Arabidopsis thaliana: one gene and its partners. The protein of the gene in region 2 interacts with the protein of the main gene of each other region in a pairwise test. Each region holds a gene or a part of one and is shown on either strand. Other genes may lie near its edges. The genes, in order: PAP1, TT1 and TT2.

Region 1 (4,228 bases), 8.5 Mb from region 2:
ATTGCGTTTTCTGGGATTCGAAACCCAAACATGATGTACAAGTATTAATGAACTCTTAGTTAACCATTAGATTAAAAATATTTTCACTATTAATTTTCTCTTAAAAATATTAATAATTTTTTGAAATCAAAAATTATAGTTATTTTATTTTAATAAACGAGAAACACTACAAAAAAAGTTAACTGCATTTAGATAATTTAATAAACTAAAATATCCACATAAAAATTTCAAATTTATCAAAAATAAAACATCAATTTGTTTTTTGTTTTAAATTAAAGATTTGCTATTGATTGCATAAGGAAGAAAACTTTACAAAGCCGAAAGGCCTAAGAGCCCAACACACACAAAAGAAGAACCATTTTGGATCAAGGGAACCGACCATGGGTATTAGAAGTAGTGGTATAAAGCCCATCATATCCCAACACATAACCCACGAATGTTTAATATTAAAAGTTTGTTGTTCGGCTCATGATTAGCGATGATCATACAGAAAGTTTGTATCTAATACGTGCCTTGAATTTTATGTGTACAACAAACAAATTAAATTATTCAAAACCATAAATTATAAAAAATAATTACAGAAATAAAACTATATTAAGAGCGAGCCTACCATCCGGTGTGCAACTTTCTAGTTTATATACAGTGGCGGATCAACGTTAATGAGGCAAATTGGTTCAAATTCATCTAAATAAGACTAGAGTTCACAGGTTCGATTCCTCCTTATAACAATTTGCTCCCACCAATTTTTTTTGCTGGGTCCGCCCCTGGTTATATATATACTTCTACACCAGGTTTGGGTTCGAGTCCACACATAATTAACGACACAATTATAGTGCACGATAGAATGAACTAAAACAGCTAGAGCGTAGAGGGCTCATTGTCTATAAAAATCCTTCGTTAACTTGCAAGAAACCAAGAGTAGAGGGCTCACACTTAAGTCTCCTACATGACGATTATATTTCGTCAAAAAGAAGCAATTAGTTAGCTTTACAGCATATCATTTCGCCTAGGTTTTCCATCGTACACGTAAATTTTCATGCAAGAAAGCAGAAATATACAAATACTAACTTTTAGATACTGAAAAATGAGATCAGATTCTAGTCAAATTTTGTTAAAAGTATTTATAAATTTAAATTGCAAGTCCTCAAAAAGTACGACTAAAAATGCTTTTCTTAGAAAATGATAATAAACCGGCGTTTTATATATAAGTGTTTCTTTTTCTCTTCTGTCCAGAAGTAAATCATTAAGAACCAATATGGCTTTTCTTAAACTAATCTCCGTGATAATCAAATCTTTGATCATTCTCCACACAATCCCATCAACAACATCGATCTCACTAGATGCACCAACAATGATTCTAATCGGCACTACTAACTATAGAGATAGTTGTCCCAAAAAAAAAAAAAAAAACTAACTAGAGAGATAAATCATATTCAATACATGTACTATTTCTACTATACTTAAGAAAATTTGTATACCACTATCTTAACTCTTAACACTGAACATACTATACACTATCTTAACTCCCAACTCTTGTAAAAGAATATCTAATTTTAAGAAAAGACTTCAAATGCTTGTTAAATTTCTAGTGAAGATGCACATTCTAAAAACTGGTAAAATGGTAAGAAAAAAATATATAAAAAAATAGCCTTATTAAAATTTATATCTCCTATTTCTCTATCCAAACTACACGGATGAAGCTTATTGTTATTCATCCACCCTTTTTCTCAATTCTGTCCTATTTCTTGTGCATGAAACTTCTCCATCTTGTAATCGGATAAATCATACCCAAATTTTTTCTTTCTGAAAACATATATACCCGAACATTAATTACTATCGTCCTTTCTCCTAATTTTGTTAAGAAACATGTTTGTTTGTTTTTAGTACTGAAAAAGGATGGAGATACTTGCTAGATCCTATGAACCTTTTCTCTCTAGGACAAATCAGTAACCAAACAATAACTTAGCAAATTAAGCACGACAGCTAATACATAAAATGTGGATATCAAACATGCACGTCACTTCCTTTTTTCCGTCACGTGTTTTTATAAATTTTCTCACATACTCACACTCTCTATAAGACCTCCAATCATTTGTGAAACCATACTATATATACCCTCTTCCTTGACCAATTTACTTATACCTTTTACAATTTGTTTATATATTTTACGTATCTATCTTTGTTCCATGGAGGGTTCGTCCAAAGGGCTGCGAAAAGGTGCTTGGACTACTGAAGAAGATAGTCTCTTGAGACAGTGCATTAATAAGTATGGAGAAGGCAAATGGCACCAAGTTCCTGTAAGAGCTGGTATGTTATTTACGAACACACACACACTAACCGACACACACACACACAAATATGAATATCTATAATCACTACCAATAGTCTTCGTTCTCTCTATTTTCTATTCAGAAAATTGATTAATACCCGGTATTAAAAAAAAAAAAAAAAATTTGTTTAAATGAGTACAAATCATTGTTACAACTTCTTTATGCTGTTTTTACATGCTATTAAAGGTTGTGCATGAAAATTTCTTTTGCTGTTCGTATTTGTTTTACACCTAAACGAAGATTTTTACTTAAAATTAAAGAAAAAAAATTATACTAATTTTAGTTACGTTGCGTATTGCTAGCTTCTCCTATAAAGTCGTTCAAATTTTTACACGCTTGTCTTCTTGTAAATGAATTCGTGGGAAAATTTTGTATGAACACGTGTTTCTGTGTTGGAACAGTTCTTTATTTTTATTGGTGTGCATAGATTCTTCCTGATAAAATATATAGAAGGAGACAAATAAAAAACAGTCTTAGTATGTAGGTATAATCAAAGAATCAATTATTGGTTTTGTAGGGCTAAACCGGTGCAGGAAAAGTTGTAGATTAAGATGGTTGAACTATTTGAAGCCAAGTATCAAGAGAGGAAAACTTAGCTCTGATGAAGTCGATCTTCTTCTTCGCCTTCATAGGCTTCTAGGGAATAGGTATTAATTGTTACCTCGATACTACTTAACTCGGAGAGTCGTCATAAGTTAATACTAATAACATATGTATATTTTCTTACAATTGTTAGGTGGTCTTTAATTGCTGGAAGATTACCTGGTCGGACCGCAAATGACGTCAAGAATTACTGGAACACTCATCTGAGTAAGAAACATGAACCGTGTTGTAAGATAAAGATGAAAAAGAGAGACATTACGCCCATTCCTACAACACCGGCACTAAAAAACAATGTTTATAAGCCTCGACCTCGATCCTTCACAGTTAACAACGACTGCAACCATCTCAATGCCCCACCAAAAGTTGACGTTAATCCTCCATGCCTTGGACTTAACATCAATAATGTTTGTGACAATAGTATCATATACAACAAAGATAAGAAGAAAGACCAACTAGTGAATAATTTGATTGATGGAGATAATATGTGGTTAGAGAAATTCCTAGAGGAAAGCCAAGAGGTAGATATTTTGGTTCCTGAAGCGACGACAACAGAAAAGGGGGACACCTTGGCTTTTGACGTTGATCAACTTTGGAGTCTTTTCGATGGAGAGACTGTGAAATTTGATTAGTGTTTCGAACATTTGTTTGCGTTTGTGTATAGGTTTGCTTTCACCTTTTAATTTGTGTGTTTTGATAAATAAGCTAATAGTTTTTAGCATTTTAATGAAATATTTCAAGTTTCCGTGTTTACATTTTGAAGAAAATAAAATATTAATATATTCTGAAGATTTTTGTTTTTTTTTGGTTATCTACATGACAACAGTAAAAATAGAAAAAAAATCTTATTTTTTGAAAAAGGTATGTATCCGGTGTTTAGAATACTTTCCGAAATCAAACCGCCTATATTTCTAATCACTATGTAAAATTGTAAACCAATTGGGTTAAAACTCAACTAACAAACTTTCTAAATAAATGTCATTTTTGTTTTCAAATATGATTGAACTCGGATTTAGGAGTTTTACCCTTCAGTACCAAACCTTCTCTACCGACCATGTATGGTTGGGCAAATGTCATGTTTTACAATGTTTAGATTACTAAACACTTTGGTTGAGAAGGCAATGCTTTATTTATATATTCTGAAGTCATGTTTTAGTGTTATTTTTATTTATTTTTAAATGCATAGATTGTTAACGTGCAGATTCTCATATGGGCTTAGTTTCTGGATTTTGATTATCAAAACCGTATTCCACTCTTAAATGATTACGACAAAAAAATCAATACTACTAACAAACCTA
Region 2 (4,201 bases):
ATTATTCTTAATACCACATATTAAACATATCTAATCTTTACTGATTCAATAAAGATTGTGTGAAACAAAAGTTGTCTTGCAAAGAATTAATATTGTACATAGATTTTGTTCTGGTAGCTAGTACTAAAATCCATTAATAAAACTAATACGGTATCTTTATTGATCATGTAACATGAATTATTCATGTATATACAATTGACCCTATTAATTTTGCATAAATTTCAACTTGGCAAATTCATTGATTTTGTAAACCGTTAATTCTGCTAATTTCACAATTCTCTTGTACGCTAAAAATTTATGCGTATTATCGTATTGATATGCAAATATCGAAGAATTTATAGTTTTATATAGTAGAAATGAAGGTATTTGCAAAACGAGTTCTAACGTGAAATAACACTAATTAATTAATTAGAGTTTGAACCTACAGAGATTCGACTTGATCCACTTGAAAAATTCATTTACTCTACTAATTTGGTTACTCCATGGACCATGATTATGCTATTCTGTAGGACTCTAACAACTGACTTGACACAATCTCTTTCGTGAACAATAATGGGTTATATTTTTTTGTTTTGTTTTTTCGGACAAATTAGCCACGTTGCTTTAGACCATTTTGTAGTTCTTATCTTGAATCAAAGTCTCAGCTAAAAAAAAAAAAAAAACGCTTAAATCCACTAGCTAGACTACGACTACGTTGGTTAAATGTTTTTTTTTAAATACAATACATTGAAGTTAAATATTTGAATAAAGAAAATCTAATCAGCATGTATACAGTATATTAGAAGTAATACTTGATCAGAAAAATAACATACAATAATAAAATAATAAAAAAATTATGTTAGTTTTTGGGAATATTATAATTCTACTTTCAATCAAAATAACTAAAAGAAATAAAATCTTCACACATAGTGGTAATAATTGGCTAGTATGAATATTGAATTGTGGAGACCCGGCATAATATTTGACTAGGCAGAAATTATTGATATGTACTAAGTTAATAACCTTGCAAAGAAATTCTTTTAGTGAAACGTGTACATTTGTAAAAACAGATTTAACACTAAATCTTGACTTGTATATACTATTAATTATTCCTTTTCTCTTATTGGTATGTCAAATCTAGTGTTTACAAAACCAGAGGTGTTGACCGTTAGAGAGAGAATTAAACAACTTACATACATACAAAACATAACCCAAAAAAATAATAATAATGCATCTTCCATAATAATAATAATATGAATTCAACATTAGCATTCATTTCATTACCCAAATCCGAAATTTCATTGATTAAAATTAATACAATTGTATTGTAGAAAAGCTAAAAGCTTACGTAAATGCCAAAGATAGTCAAAACCCTGCAATGACAAAGTTGCCAAAATCTTGAAGAGTTTGGTCCACAAAATTTAAGGTTCTTGTTTTTCCACTCTATTTATAGGCAAAGAGATGAGACAGAGAAGATTAAATTACTTCTTAACAAAGGTTGTTTTCACTCAACCACATGCATTCTCAAGTGTCTGCTCCTCACATTCCCCAAGATTCCCATTTACTCACTTCTCTATTTGGTACGTAAGTCACACAATATGATTCTAAATTATTTTACACATTATTCGTTTTGTTCACACTTGCTTTCGACTTTCGTAAACCTATATAGTTCATCCAATATTATTCGGTAAATTCGATATTTATCAATCTTTATTCTCGTAGGTTAAAGGAGACGATTGATACGTGGGATCTACTTACGTATCTGCATGATTATTAGTTATAAAAGTTATTGCAAACATTAAATTACTTTCATAGAGAGCAATCATTATATTAAGGTAATTTAATTTTATTATATATAGTCAAGATTTAAAGGAATAAAGAAAAGATTCTCAAAACATTTCATCTCTCTCCAACAACTATTCACCACATTCAATGGAGTCACCACCACTATACGAGATATCCTCAAGCTCTTCTTCTGAAAAACCTAGACACCATTTCCAATCCCTTGATCTCTTCCCTAACCTCAACCAAAACTCTTGTATCAACAATACCCTAATTGAGCCTTTACCGCTTATTGATCGCATAAACTTGAACTCAAACCTAGACCTAAACCCTAATCCCTTGTATGCGGAAGAAGGAGAGCAAGAGGAGGAAGAAGAAGAAGAAGAAGACCGTGAAGTGGACGTGGACTTACACATCGGCCTTCCTGGTTTTGGTAAACCAAGCAATGATGCTAAACAGCTGAAGAAGAGAAATGGGAAGGAGATCGCCACATATGACGCCGGAAAAGGCATCGAGAATGAACTTTCCGGAAAGGCATACTGGATCCCGGCGCCGGAGCAAATTCTCATAGGGTTCACTCATTTTTCTTGCCATGTATGCTTCAAGACATTCAATCGCTACAACAATCTTCAGGTACGAGTCAATATATCTCATGCGCATTGCTTTTCCATGCACAAACATATATAATAAATTCATCTTATAGAGTTATATCTCCGGATCTAATGTTATGAGTTTATTCATATCTATATATATACATATATATATATATATATATATATATATATATATAATTCTGAATTTATTTGATAAAAGCTAAACAACCAGGATTTAATAGATGATTTACCTTTGGATCTTATTATACAATTTACAAATTTAATCAAGTCAACTAATCGTGATTTAATTACTTTTTTTTGTAAGAAGAGTTGGTAATATATATTTTTATGGTAATGTTTTCATGAAAATAATTCATCACAACTCTTTACATTTATTTAATGCCTTAACTAAAGCTGAATTCGAAAAAGTTGAAATAAATTATCTACTAAGATTTGATTGACTATAGTTTTTAATAGTTTTCTTTTCTCATATATATATTATCATAGTAGTCAAAACATTTGATTCAAACTTAAATACACAGATTTCTTGAATGAAACATTACTATGCTCGGTCAATAATATGATTTTAAGGAACCATGTTATTTCATTTTATTACTTAAGGAAACCTTTTTGTTTTTTGTTGACTCTAAATATTATGAATATAGATGCACATGTGGGGACATGGTTCACAATACAGGAAAGGACCGGAGTCACTGAAAGGCACACAGCCACGAGCCATGTTAGGGATCCCTTGTTACTGCTGCGTTGAAGGGTGCAGGAACCACATTGACCATCCTCGTTCCAAGCCACTGAAAGACTTTAGGACGCTCCAAACGCACTACAAACGCAAACACGGACACAAACCCTTCTCGTGTCGCCTTTGCGGTAAGCTTTTGGCTGTCAAGGGCGATTGGCGAACACATGAGAAGAATTGTGGAAAACGTTGGGTTTGCGTTTGCGGTTCTGATTTTAAACACAAACGTTCTCTTAAGGACCATGTTAAGGCGTTTGGGTCTGGTCATGGGCCTTATCCAACTGGTTTGTTTGAAGAGCAGGCTTCTAATTCATCTGTCTCCGAGACTTTGTTTTTTTAAATTTGGGCATCTTTTTCTTTCGCTTATGAAATATCTATTTACTTTAGAAAAATAATAATGTGGTATCTAATTGTTCCAAATTAGGAACACGAAGTGTACCATTATATTTTTCATCACTACAAATGTTATTCAGAGAAAATTATCATTAATTGTCTCGTTAAAGATAGAATAGGGTTTGAATTTATCAAATATTAAAAACAGATCAATACAAAATTGACCATGCATATGCACTTGAATATTCTGATTTCTTTATGATGTAATCTCATTCAAGAAAAGCTTTGGGAAAATTTCAACAAAAAAAAGAAATATTTAATATTTGTCAATAATAAAACCCCTGAATTTTTTTTTTCTAATTGGAAAATCAACTGATCTCATTGTGTATTTTTATTCTTGAATTTAATTGAGAAATCAACTAATCTATTGCTATTTTTGTTTGTATTTATCTTGTTTAATTTAACATTTAACATTTTAAATATTTTTTTTGATGGTACATTGTATGATTGTTAGTTTGTTATTGAATTGCAGTTGTTTTTCTTAAATTAAAAATTTGAGTTTGTAAATAAGTTTTGCAACAGTTGTTGATGATGATTCCAAGTCATATTTTTATTCTTTTAAATTTAAGACCAAATATTTGATATATATGTTGGTCGAAAGACCTAATATATAGCCAATGTATGTATTTGGGTTGATCTAGCTAGTCTGGTTAAATTGAAATACTTTCTAGATCAATGTCTTGTTGACATAAACGCTTGT
Region 3 (3,563 bases), on a different chromosome or scaffold from region 2:
AAACAAATCTAACATTCGATTTACTATGCAAAACACAAATGAAATATAAATAATATAAATTAATAAAAAAAATTTAGTTATTATATCATAAATAACACTATACACTTTTCTATGCACATTATAATTTATACACTACAATATCTTTCACTAAAAATGTATTCTAATACATTTCTTAAAATATGAAACCCCGCACGTATGTGCGGGTCAGAATCTAGTTTCCTTTAAAATACAAACACTTTTTGATGTCCAATAAAATACATGATTTTTTAGTATCCTTAAAATACATAAACTTCTAAATTGTACCCATAAAATACAGGAGATAGGGGGAAAATCCGGAATATTCCTTTGTTTTGTTTTTCAAATATGTACTGGCACATGACTTAGAACAACCATGCATCTAGTATTTATTTATACGATGATTCCAAAAATGAGAAGAACAAATTCCTTACATTAATGACTATGCCTGCCTATAAATAGACTATACATGTATATTCTAGTAATATTTCGTAATAACAAAATTGTAAAGTTGATTCGTATTACCAATAATTCACAAGTAGAATTTATAGGTTGGGTGGTTAAGCGGTGGTTAGGTTATAATAAAAGCTCTATCATTTGCTCATACATAAATTTACAAAATCTATCAAAAATATTTATGTCGTACGTATTTGCAATAATAAAAAATTATTAGTTAAAGACAAAACCCATTTCTATAACATGTGGATCGTATAATTATTTGTATTTCTTGGTCTCCTTAGTAAGTTAGTAATTAGAAGCGTTCAGACAAATACAGATATACTTTTGTCCGTATAGAGAAATATGTATTAACGTAGGTTTTTGCAATATAGGCTCAACAAGTGAAGTCTCGGAGCCAATCTTCATCGTCGCCACGATGATGACAAGAAGTGAAAGGTCTATTGAGATCGAGATTACCTTGAGCAGGAACCAACTCTCCCAAAATCTCGTTAGATGAAACAAGAGATGTAACGTTTCCACAGTCCAAACCATCAAAATCCATCAAATCCGGGAAGTGAAACTCCGAATGGATCCTATCGAAATCGAATTCGAGATCTCCCATCAACGAAGATCCACCTTGATCCATCTCTTGTTCTTTCAGAGGTAGTGGACTAGTACTACTCTTCTTCTGAAGAGAGAGATCCGAGAAGAGAAGAGTCTTTGAGCACCTAATCGCCTTTGTACGTATAACACATACATTATTCTCGTTGTTCGTCGAATGTTTTATACGTTTTGGTTGCTTGGTTTGAGTTTTGGGAAGTCTTTTGCGGAGGTTTGAGTTCCAATGATTCTTTATTTCATTGTCTGTTCGGCCTGGAAGCCTCCCAGCTATCAACGACCATCTGCTTTAATTATAATGTCACATAACAAATAACTTTACTACAAAAAGAAAATTCTATGTGGTTAGTGAAAAACCTGTTTCCAAGAAGATTATGGAGACGGATTATGAGTTCTTCTTCATCAGATGAGATGTTACCGCGCTTTATCCCCGGTCTTAGGTAGTTCTTCCACCGAAGTCTACAGCTTTTGCCACACCTCTTGAGACCTTTTATGTGTGCCAAGACAATTATTGTACGTAGAAGATATAAAGACGGATCGGTAGATAGAGAGATTAGTACCAGCTTGGTTAGGGAGAGTGCTCCATTTGCCTTCGCCGTGAGTGGTGATGTAATCTCTAAGGATCTTGTCTTCATGATCAGTCCAAGCTCCTCTGTTTAACTCTTCTCTCCTCACACTAGTAGTTGCTCTCTTTCCCATTCTCACTTTTCTCTCTCTTGTGGTTGTGTGGTTGGTACAATTGTCTTTAGTGTTGTGTTGAGAATAGATTCTGTTTTTGTGTTTAGCTGAGTATCTTTATAGGGGAGTTGTTGATATGTCCGTACATCAGTCGCTTTCTAAAACCTCTGTCATACACACTTTGAAATTTTAATGCTTTCTTCACCTGGTAATAATTAGCTTTGGTGAGGTTAATTTTACCGAATTTTAACATCTACAAAGAGTTTTTCTAAGCCAAGTGTGAATTTAGGCCTGGGAGTTCGGCAAATCGGTTTAATCGGGTCGGGTTATTCGGTTTTAGGGAATTTCGGTTTTTGGAAATGCTTCCGAATTAAACCGAATTTAATTTCGGTTCGGTTCGGTCGGGACTCGGGTTTTTCAGGTCGGTTATCTAGATTTATTTAACTTCCGAAATAAAACTGAAAATTTTCATATTCGGTTTATTTGAACCGAATTAGACATGTATCAAATACGGGAAAAGGGTATTTTCATACCCGTACTATTTTCTGAGTGTATTTTCGTATCCAAAAAAATTTGTTGGGTATTTTCATATATTAACCGCATATTTATTTGAATTTCATACCTCAACTTAAGAAAAAGTACAAAATTCAGAGTCAAAGTAACGGGTGTTAGTCAACTCCGTGAAGATGATAAGTCAGCAGACACATGGAAAATATGTGTCTATAACGACGTCGTTTTACGTTATGAACGTTTAAAATGTTAAATTTGTTGGGTAGTTTCATATCTAAACCGCATATTTATTTTAATTTAAAAAAAAGATTGCTAGGTAAACAAAGTATAAGAGAATACATGGTCACACATACCTACTATACATTGTATATCCAGCTACACGAAGTAGACACGAAGTAGATGTATTACATGACCACATATATGAAGTATAGGACGTCATGTGGTTAACACCATTGACATACAATTCCGGTAAACCGGTCAGTTGACTCAGGCTTTGACTAGTGTTGACCGGCGTTGACCAACAAAAAAATTTAAAATTATTTTTAATACTCAAAAATACGAAAATATTTTTTTTCTTTTATATATTCAAAAACATATTCTATATTTCGTAAAAATATATTTGTATTTTCAATGCATTAAATCTTATAATAATTAGTTTTATTTTTAATTTCAAAACTAAACTAAAACTAGAATAAAAATCATTATTAAACTTTAGATTAAAGAGTCATATACTCAATTGTATTAGGAAGCAATATGAAATTGAGTATATGACTCTTTAATCTAAAGTTTGCATGGTAAAGAAAATTATAATATTTTTTATATACTCTTTAGTCTAAATTTATTTTTGTATACTATGTAGTTCCTTTTGTAACAAATATTATTAAGAAAAGTTCTCGTAGTAACACATAAACAACCAAAAACTTGCAATTTTTCTTTTTAATATATAAAAAGATAGAAAATCTAACAATGTTGATTTCAGCAAAAAAGTTTTTAAAATAAAATTCATTTGTATTACGTTTTATTCTAATAATTTTTGTGGTTGATTTTTTTTTATAAAAAATATTGTATAGAAATAATTGAAGTGTTTTAATTGACACTATAAAAATAAGCAATTTCCTTACTTAATTAACTATAATAATATTTTCCTGTTTTCATTTAAAATTTAAAATTTAATAATGATTTTTAATCTATTTTTAGTTAAATTTTGATTTTTTTTGTAAAACTAATTTTTCTAAGATTTAATGCATTGAAATATAGAATATGTTTTTGAATATACAAAACCAAAAAAAAAATATTTTGTATTT

The links.
Region 1: the proteins of TT1 (region 2) and PAP1 interact in a two-hybrid assay, tested with the Arabidopsis thaliana proteins (one study listed by BioGRID).
Region 3: the proteins of TT1 (region 2) and TT2 interact in a two-hybrid assay, tested with the Arabidopsis thaliana proteins (one study listed by BioGRID).

Annotation. Positions count from the first base shown.
Region 1 is NC_003070.9:21,233,048-21,237,275, reverse strand, and holds PAP1 (production of anthocyanin pigment 1), read left to right. Parts: upstream 1-1,983; 5' UTR 1,984-2,186; coding exon 2,187-2,307; intron 2,308-2,847; coding exon 2,848-2,977; intron 2,978-3,066; coding exon 3,067-3,562; 3' UTR 3,563-3,721; downstream 3,722-4,228.
Region 2 is NC_003070.9:12,762,042-12,766,242, forward strand, and holds TT1 (C2H2 and C2HC zinc fingers superfamily protein), read left to right. Parts: upstream 1-1,860; 5' UTR 1,861-1,911; coding exon 1,912-2,394; intron 2,395-3,019; coding exon 3,020-3,448; 3' UTR 3,449-3,645; downstream 3,646-4,201. UniProt on the Arabidopsis thaliana protein: May act as a transcriptional regulator involved in the differentiation of young endothelium. Altered differentiation results in incompetence for pigments synthesis and the lack of condensed tannins in the seed coat.
Region 3 is NC_003076.8:13,725,014-13,728,576, reverse strand, and holds TT2 (Duplicated homeodomain-like superfamily protein), read right to left. Parts: upstream 1,835-3,563; 5' UTR 1,771-1,834; coding exon of another isoform or gene 1,707-1,770; coding exon 1,429-1,706; intron 1,356-1,428; coding exon 848-1,355; 3' UTR 616-847; downstream 1-615. UniProt on the Arabidopsis thaliana protein: Transcription activator, when associated with BHLH2/EGL3/MYC146, BHLH12/MYC1, or BHLH42/TT8. Involved in the control of flavonoid late metabolism in developing siliques.